2 linked regions of the Drosophila melanogaster genome follow. The protein of the gene in region 1 interacts with the protein of each later gene in a pairwise test. Each region holds a gene or a part of one and is shown in the gene's direction. Other genes may lie near its edges.

The links.
Region 2: the proteins of CG3916 (region 1) and FucT6 interact in a two-hybrid assay, tested with the Drosophila melanogaster proteins (one large-scale study listed by BioGRID).

The regions. Positions count from the first base shown.
Region 1 is NT_033777.3:12,227,550-12,231,102, forward strand, and holds CG3916 (uncharacterized protein), read left to right. Parts: upstream 1-1,863; 5' UTR 1,864-1,906; coding exon 1,907-2,542; intron 2,543-2,602; coding exon 2,603-2,770; 3' UTR 2,771-2,876; downstream 2,877-3,553.
Region 2 is NC_004354.4:11,705,884-11,712,003, reverse strand, and holds FucT6 (alpha1,6-fucosyltransferase), read left to right. Parts: upstream 1-2,052; 5' UTR 2,053-2,556; coding exon 2,557-2,801; intron 2,802-3,209; coding exon 3,210-3,759; intron 3,760-3,868; coding exon 3,869-4,293; intron 4,294-4,358; coding exon 4,359-4,998; 3' UTR 4,999-5,429; downstream 5,430-6,120. Other genes in the region: amun, read left to right, coding at 1-494. UniProt on the Drosophila melanogaster protein: Catalyzes the addition of fucose in alpha 1-6 linkage to the first GlcNAc residue, next to the peptide chains in N-glycans. The addition is prevented if the GlcNAc residue is already fucosylated.

The DNA.
Region 1 (3,553 bases):
GGCATGACTTATCTGCAGACTTTATGCTTGATTCCCGCCTCTAATTTGCATGTGGGCTTGGTGCGTCTTTAGGAGATTTAAGGTTGACGGGTTAATCCCTGTGTTAACTCATTAGGCTTTGTTCTAGCGAGCGAAATTTAATCAAGAAAATGTACACACCAAGAAGTTTGCTATACATTTTTATTTAATCGAGGAAAAAAACAATGTCAGTTTTAAAAAACAATGGGATCATTTCTATTGTTATAAGCTAGTGAAAAGTGCACATATACATATTATTCTTACTTCCTACAACCACTTTGCACTTTAAGCTGCTAAACAGTTTCGAGTTTGCACAACCAGCAGTCACAAAAAACCGCTTTAATGATAAAGGCAAAAATCGCAGACGATGCTCAAAATTCCCACTAATAAAGTGCACTTTAATCATTTCATCATCAGCGGTGTTCCCGAGACCATATTCTCCTCTTGAAGGGCTGGTGGATCGGTTCGGTGTTAACAAGATAAGCATCCTGCCCGTCGGCTCCGACGGGACGCCATCATTATTATGACATTTTGTTTGATTGCCTGCCCCGCTGGATGGCTCTGCTTCTGGGCCATGTTCGCCAGTTGGTCAGTTAGCCAGTTCGCCAGCCAACTTCTGTAGAATTGTGCGTGTGGCCCAGAAGAACAGGCCACATTCATTGCCGGTGCAATTTTTATGGGCTTTTTGTTTTCGGGACTTGTGTTCTTGTTTGTCTCTTTGCCGCCAACGTCTTCAGCTTGATTTATTGGCCGAGTTTATAAAGCAGAGCCGCTGGTTTTATGATCTGTCCGGAGTGGGAGAAGAAGTGGCATTTTATGTGTGTGCATGTATCAGGCTTTAAATACAGTAGCAGCTCTGGAAGGGTATAACTAGCCATGTTGATTTTTGGGGTCAATCAAGAACAGGTTGGAAAAACTTTCCTCTGCATCGACTCGTATGCAAATGATTATGACGGAACCCCACATAAACAAACGGGATCAGTCTGGTTAGTCGAATGAGTTTTCCACTTCGCAGGCAATTAATTTTCGCACTCGCTTGCAAGTGGAAAATTAATTGCGTGTTTTGCATAATCAGTAAATTGGTCGTTTATTTTAGTACTTAATTTGCCCAGGATCGCACCACAAGCAGCACCTCGTTCTTCCAGCGAATCAGAGGAATCCCACTCCACTCCTCTCCAACTAGTAATATAAATTATGACTCTGGACACCAACACATGCAGCGATCTGGCGTTGGTTTTGCGCTCGAGCATTGGCAAATTAAACAGATTCTTATTTGCAAATCAGATAAGAGATCATGCCAGGGAACAGCGACCAGATACGAATTCTCAGTCGCCCAGATAGACAGATACCGATATGGGGATTCGGCTAGAGCTGCCTTAATATTTATCGGTCGCGTGAGCGTGTTACCTAATTGATGACAACAGGTAGGCGCTTCTGTCAAGCCCAGTATTATGATGGCATCGAAGGATCGCATCCCGGCTAGCTTATGATAACCAGACACGCAAAGCGACAACTGGGCAGCACGGAGCGGAGCAGCAGGTGGGATCTCCTCGACTACTGTTTGAATCCGAATTTTTGAAAATGGTATATATTACATAGATCTGGCCAATGTTTATCTTTAAATATATGTATTAAATTGAATTACATTAATGTACAAAAAGGAAAGTATTTTTGTTAAGTGTACATGAGCACATATGTGTTATTTGTAGGAGATATTTGGGAAAGGTCACACCGATTCAGCCCACATTACATTTCAAGATCACCGGAATTTAAATGTTTACATTGCCAAATAAATGATAAGGCTGTTCTGCATGGAGATGTATAAAATGGATGGGTTGCAGTGGAATGCAATTCATTTCCAACAGTTGAATCGTGATCGTATTTTGAAATGGTAGTACTACAGCTTTTCTGCATGTTGTTGATCCTTCGCCAAGGACTAGCTGACGTGGTAACCTCGACCACCGAATCACCCACTAGGATAAATGGAGGACAGCGCGTGAACGAGACGGTGCCCTTCCAGGTGTCCTTGCAAATGCAGCGACGTGGACGCTGGCAGCACTTTTGTGGAGGATCCATTGTGAGCGGTCAGCACGTCCTTACGGCGGCCCACTGTATGGAGAAGATGAAGGTCGAGGACGTTAGCGTGGTCGTGGGGACGCTTAACTGGAAGGCCGGTGGACTACGTCACCGGTTGGTGACCAAGCACGTCCATCCCCAGTACTCGATGAATCCTCGCATTATCAATGACATTGCCCTGGTCAAGGTTACTCCGCCGTTCCGCCTGGAGCGATCCGATATCAGTACAATTCTAATCGGTGGCTCGGATCGCATTGGCGAGAAGGTTCCGGTACGCCTCACCGGCTGGGGATCCACCAGTCCATCCACTTCCTCGGCGACTCTGCCCGATCAGCTGCAGGCTTTGAACTATCGCACCATCTCGAACGAGGATTGCAATCAAAAGGGATTTCGGGTGACTCGGAACGAGATCTGCGCACTGGCTGTCCAGGGTCAAGGGGCATGTGTGGTGAGTAAACAAAAAGTAATATCACGCTAAGCGGAATTAATCATGCTTTCCCAAACTTAGGGCGACTCTGGTGGACCCTTGATTAGGCCCGGTAAGCAGCCGCACTTGGTGGGAATTGTCTCCTACGGATCATCCACCTGTGCCCAGGGCAGACCCGACGTCTACACGCGGGTGTCCAGTTTTCTGCCCTACATCAGTCAGGTGATCAACCAAGACTTGGCCCAATAAATACCGACCTGTAGCGCATAAATAAACCGAGTCTCTGCCCGAACTTGACTAAATTCCTCGAAGTCTTGCGTTCTTGGTCACATCCCCCCACTTTCTACGCTTTGGCGACTAATTAAAAATCTTGTTCAATATTCGCCACAGCCAGAGGGAGGGTGGAGGAGTTCGGCAGTCCGGGTGTGGCGTCCACAGAGTCGCCTTGCCATCTTCGTGGTCTAGGCTTGGCCCGACTCCAGCGAAAACTTGGGCTGCCGCCTGCCAGGGCGACCATGATAAATGCAAAAAGCAATTTATCGCGCATTTAACTCAATTCAGTTTCTTTATGGCAGCGGGATGTGGATGCGAGCTTGAGGATGTGGAGACGTGGGGATGTGGAGCCGGAGCGCTTGGTCGACGGAGCCTGCCACAAAGTTTCGCTGACACGCACACTGTTCTGCGAACTCTGGACTCCTCTCCAAAGACCGGGCCTTGTAATTCGATATTAGATTTTATGCGCGACAAAAACGAAGTGCAAACATTTTTATGTTCCCGCCGTTTCTATGCTGCAATTGGTATACCAATTTGACGGGGCGCCGACTTTGACTTTAACTTTAACTTCGGTCTGGGCTCCACTGCGTCTGTGTAATTAGGTTCAAATAATGTGGAGCTCAGCCTCTTCGCGCCACACTAGTCAGCAAGATATTGTAGTTCGCACAGCCCTCATGGAAGGATGATCCTGCAGAGGACCCAAGTTTGCCAGCAGAGTGCCCGTCTCCTAGCTCGTTTCACGCTCTCAATTTACTGGAT
Region 2 (6,120 bases), on another chromosome or scaffold:
GCCAGAATCAGAATCAAAAGCAGTCGCCGAGCCAGCCCCACAAAACTAACAATTCGATCACCAACAACGGTCAGCCTGCTCCTTTGGCAGAAGAGGAAGCGGTTACAGCAGCACCACAGCCAGCCAGCAAAGCGACTGCAGCACCAGCCAATGGAAATGGTAACGGGAACGGCGTCCTGGGCGACGAGGATGAGGATGAGGCGGAGGACGAGGAGGAAGATGAGCTGGACGAGGAGGAGGATAATGAGGCGGAGCTAGAGGCTGACGAGAGCAATAGCAGCAACGGCATTGTGAGGGACAGTAAACTGCAGCAGCTGGCGGCGAACAAGGCGGTGGATGCGGTTTCACCGGTAGCAGCGGGTGCAGACTCGGCACCAGCCATTGGACAGAAGCGTACTGCCCTGCACTGCGATATGGAGCTGAAGAACGCCGGCGGAGTGGGTGTGGGCGTGGGGGAGAAGTCACCGGATCTAAAGAAACTGCGCAGCGAATGAGGCGGAGGTGAGGAAACGAAATACGGATACGGATGCGGATGCGGGTCAGAAACGGGGATCGGTTCGGCTCGGCACGTTTCGGTTCGCCGCGTATCCGGTGGAAAGACATATGTATGTAGTGCAGTTGAGTCGACATAGAGACATAGAGCAACATTACCTACACTTTACCACAACAACATTCAAGAAATTCTACTATTAAGCAACTAACTATACATACATATAATATATTATATATATATATATATACACATATATATATATATATATACAACATATAACGAGATGCGAACACCCAACACACTCCACTCTCATACACACAACACAGACACACACAACCCGACATAACATGAACATAACCGATCAGATCAGAGCGGAATATAGGATCCCGATCCAGAAGGCAGTAAGCAGCACCACAAACAACATTTCAATAGCATAGAAAGCGCGCCAAGATGAAGAATCAGAAGAATCCGATCAAGAATCCGAAGAACAAGCAGCAGAATCAGCAGCAACAGAGAGTTCAGAATGCAGCGTTAACGTAATTTAACTAAAACGAAAAGCAAATGCATACATGAATAGTAACTACAAAACAAGATCAGATGGAAATCGATATTTTTACACAGTCAAAAGGAACATTTAAATATAAAGAAATTTACAAATGCCGCAGTTGCCCACTACATACAAAAAACAAAAAAAAAATATGAAAAATAAAAAGCGAAAGAAAACAAAATGATTAAGATGGAAACAACAATAATTATAATAAACAGAAACGTAATTTATATACATAGGTATTTAAATTTAATAATAAATCAAAACTTGTCGTATAAACCAAGCCCCCCACCACCAACTCCACCACCACCCCCTTCGACCGTCGACCCGCAGCAACTCGCGCTCTCTCTCTATCTCTCTCACTCAAAACACGCCGCACACAGAATACACCCCCTCCCCACACACATAAACACACAAACACTCGGAAGAAACAAAACAAAACAAAACTCATTTCAACACTAAGAAATTTTTGTGGTCGTAATTATAATAATATAATTTATATTATGTGTAAAACTTTTTTTTAACTTTACATATACTGAATTTTTTATAATTTATACGATAATCACGTTTCATTTGATTTCCAAAAGAGAAAAAAGAAGATACGGAAGCATACGGCCCGCATCTTAATTGCACCCGACGCAGGTCGTCCGATCTCCGCGTGGTTTGGGTTGCCGGTACCGGGTGGTTTCCCCGATATCCACGACCCATACCACTCGCAGATCGGTCGGAACTTTGAAAGTAACAACACATCTGAAAATTATAATCATTTTTATTATTAGTAGCATAAGTGCGAATAAAATGTGAAATATTAAGAAAACACGGCATAAAACTGAAAACATCCCACAATCATCTTCAATTGTTTTATCACTTCAATGGGGTTTTTGCATTTGGTGTTTGAATAGGCGTTACATCGAGAGCCGTTGGAACTAGTCATCGACTTATCGAAAATAATGTAATGGCTCGTCCGAATATGGCAACGCTCTTCAAGTGGGCAGATGTATCGATGTCTATGCATCGATAGCATGGTGTGCTAACAACACAGCTCTAGTGCTAATCAAAAGAAAACACAGAACAGGACGGAAATATATAGAATACTTTTGCACTTAATTTGACTTGCCACGACTACCTGGCCAACTCGATCGGCGATATAGACCACCGGCCCATCAGTCAATTTCATTCTGGCATTGATCGAGCTCCGTGAAACTTGCATTCCAGCTGGCCACCATCCCATACGTCCATATATCCTTTATAAAATATCTATAAATCGAAGAGGAATCCTAGCCCCGCCGACCATGTCATTGGATCGCCTTGGTTGCTGGCCGGATCGGAGTTAATTGAGACTATGCACCGGAATCGAAACAGCTCCGCATTGAAGTACACGTAGAGAGCATTTCCGAGTCCGCCCCCGTTCGGAGCCCCGTTCCTTGATCCCCTGGAAGATCGATTGTGGTCCCGGCGAGCGGAGGGCAGAATCCAGAGGAGGAGGAGGAGCAGGAGCAGCAGTGGAAACGCCGGCATGCTGCTGGTGCGTCAGCTATTCGGGGCTTCGGCCAACTCCTGGGCACGCGCCCTCATCATATTCGTACTGGCCTGGATCGGGTTGGTCTACGTGTTCGTGGTCAAGCTGACCAATACTCAGGGCCAGCAGGCGGCCGGGGAGAGTGAGCTGAACGCCCGTCGCATATCACAGGCGCTCCAGATGCTGGAGCACACGAGACAGCGCAATGAGGAGCTTAAACAGCTCATCGACGAGTTGATGAGGTAGGTGGCTGGAGCTGTGGGGATACAGCCGGGGGCAGCACAATAGCACAAAATATATCATTGTTAGCACTCGCCTGGAACCCCTTTTGGTCTTGCTATAAAGTAAACAAATGATTATACACGTTAATTGCGATTTTAAATACCGCCATAGCTGTGATATCAAAGAGATTAGCATCAATCAATAACCAGTTCTCGGTTTATGTAGAAATAAAGAAGCTTCAATAGTATTTGTATTAAATATAGCTTCCTGAAACATTGTACCATAGCAGTTACACTTTTGCGATCACCATAATGATGTTTTGTCAGCAGCCAGGCTAATTATTCATGGCACGTAGGCGGAATTACATGCGATAAGCTGCTTTGCTAACCTGAACCCCCATCTCCCTCTTTTTTTTTTTTATTTTCCAGTGACCAACTGGACAAGCAGAGCGCAATGAAACTGGTGCAAAGGCTGGAGAACGATGCGCTAAATCCAAAGCTGGCGCCCGAGGTCGCCGGCCCGGAACCAGAATCCATGTTCGAGTCCGCCCCCGCTGATCTGCGCGGTTGGAATAATGTGGCCGAGGGAGCGCCCAATGATCTGGAGGCCGGTGTTCCGGATCATGGCGAATTCGAGCCCAGCCTAGAGTACGAGTTCACGCGCAGACGCATCCAGACGAACATCGGTGAGATCTGGAATTTCTTCAGCAGTGAACTGGGCAAAGTGCGTAAGGCAGTGGCCGCCGGCCATGCGAGTGCCGATTTGGAGGAGTCCATTAACCAGGTGCTGCTCCAAGGCGCCGAGCACAAGCGCTCCCTGCTGAGCGATATGGAGCGGATGCGTCAGTCCGATGGCTACGAGGCCTGGCGACACAAGGAGGCACGGGATTTGAGCGATTTGGTACAGCGGCGCCTGCACCATCTACAGAATCCCAGTGATTGCCAGAATGCTCGCAAGCTGGTCTGTAAGCTCAACAAGGTGCGTTATATATTCTTATTATTCCTATTTCTTGAGCTAATCTTTCGGTTACTATAATGCCACCTTACTTGTCAGCCATTAATCTAATTCGTTATTCCTAAATCCCCAGGGCTGTGGCTACGGCTGCCAACTGCACCATGTGGTGTATTGCTTTATAGTGGCCTACGCCACCGAGCGGACGCTCATCTTAAAATCCCGCGGATGGCGGTATCACAAGGGCGGCTGGGAGGAGGTGTTCCAACCGGTGTCCAACAGCTGCCATGATGCGGGCACCGCCAACACATACAATTGGCCGGGCAAGCCGAACACCCAGGTGCTGGTGTTGCCCATCATTGACTCGCTGATGCCGAGACCGCCGTACCTGCCGCTCGCCGTTCCCGAGGATCTGGCGCCGAGACTTAAGCGTCTGCATGGAGACCCCATCGTTTGGTGGGTGGGTCAGTTCCTTAAGTATTTGCTCCGACCGCAACCAACGACGCGGGATTTTCTTACCTCTGGCATGCGCAATTTGGGTTGGGAGCGTCCCATTGTTGGGTAAGTGAACCAAGAGTCGATTTGTTCTTTTGAAAAAAATTAAATATTCGGGTTTTTTCTTACAGCGTTCATGTCCGTCGCACGGACAAAGTGGGCACAGAAGCGGCCTGCCACAGTGTGGAGGAGTATATGACCTATGTCGAGGACTACTACCGCACGCTGGAGGTAAACGGCAGCACTGTGGCTCGCCGGATTTTCCTCGCATCGGATGATGCCCAGGTTATTGAGGAGGCGCGCCGAAAGTACCCGCAGTACCAGATCATTGGTGATCCGGAGGTGGCGCGCATGGCGTCCGTATCCACACGATACACGGACACCGCCCTGAACGGGATCATTCTGGATATCCACCTGCTTTCCATGTCCGATCATCTGGTGTGCACCTTCTCGTCGCAGGTGTGTCGCGTGGCCTACGAGATAATGCAGACGATGTATCCGGATGCAGCGCATCGGTTCAAGTCGCTGGACGACATATACTACTACGGTGGCCAGAATGCGCACAATCGCCGCGTCGTTATCGCCCACAAGCCGCGCACGCACGAGGATCTACAGCTGCGTGTTGGTGACCTCGTCTCGGTGGCTGGTAACCATTGGGATGGCAATTCCAAGGGCAAGAATACCCGCACCAACCAGGGCGGCCTATTCCCCTCGTTCAAGGTGGAGGAGAAGGTGGACACCGCCAAGCTGCCTCTCTATGCGGGCATTTAGTTAGTTGCTCACATCACTACATTCTCGGCCATGTTGTTGATCGATCTGTAAATCCTATCTGCCGCATTCCACCTGGAATTTCCATGGTGCATATCGATTCGGCTCGGATCAGCATCACCAGAATCTATCGAATGTCCAGAATCTCAAATGAAATCTCGCTCTTTCTGTACTTGTCCATCAATATGTGACTATTTCTTCATGTTCTCGTCTGCGCACTTTTACGCTCTGATTTCGATTCCGAATCTTATTCTTATTCTTATTCTGCATTTGTACAAGTCTTTTAATAAGATGTAAGTCGAAAGCCGAAGAAATTATGTTGACAAGAATATACATAAAGATATTTATATATATAAATAAATTATATATAGAAGTGCATGTAGTTTCACTAAGCGCAATATAGTCTATCACCTGTAAAATAGTTGAAAGAAAACAAAAACAAAGATAAAAAACGAACGCAAAACAAAACTAAAACTGATAAATTCAAGCGTCATAGTAAAAGAAATAAATAGTAATGTTTTAAAAAGCAAATATTGAAAGCGATTTACCTTTTCTGCAACTCTGGGCTGTGGGCTTCGCTACCAGGCGAACAGAAATTTCAGAATGAGACCAACGATCTTTTGGAATTTCGTTTTCAGTATACACCTGCTATTTATTGTAATCGCCTGATGCAAAAAATCAATATATTTACCATAAAAATGTGCATTTTGTACAGACTGGCAGTTTGTTTTCTGCTACTGGTTATGATCGCCTGGTACGAAAAATCTAAAAATTTTCCTCAAAAATGTGTAATTCCTTATTCAAAATTGGAAATTCTAATTTTTTGTCGTTGAATTTCATCAGGCAGCTGGTTTTGAAAATCAATAATTTATTGATTTATTTATTTATTTTAGCGAAACTTTAAAAATTATGGTCCAAATATGGAATGTCATACATCGTTGAGCTCGTAATTGAATTCCGAAACAAACTGTTTTTAAAAATGTGAATTCTATTTTTTGGCCATTTTTTGCAAAATTATAAAAAAAATATAAAAAATTGCCAAAAGTTAATGGGATCGTTAGGATTGATAATAATCAGCTATTATAAAATTTTAGGATATCTTATGATGAAAAATCCAATTGCAAA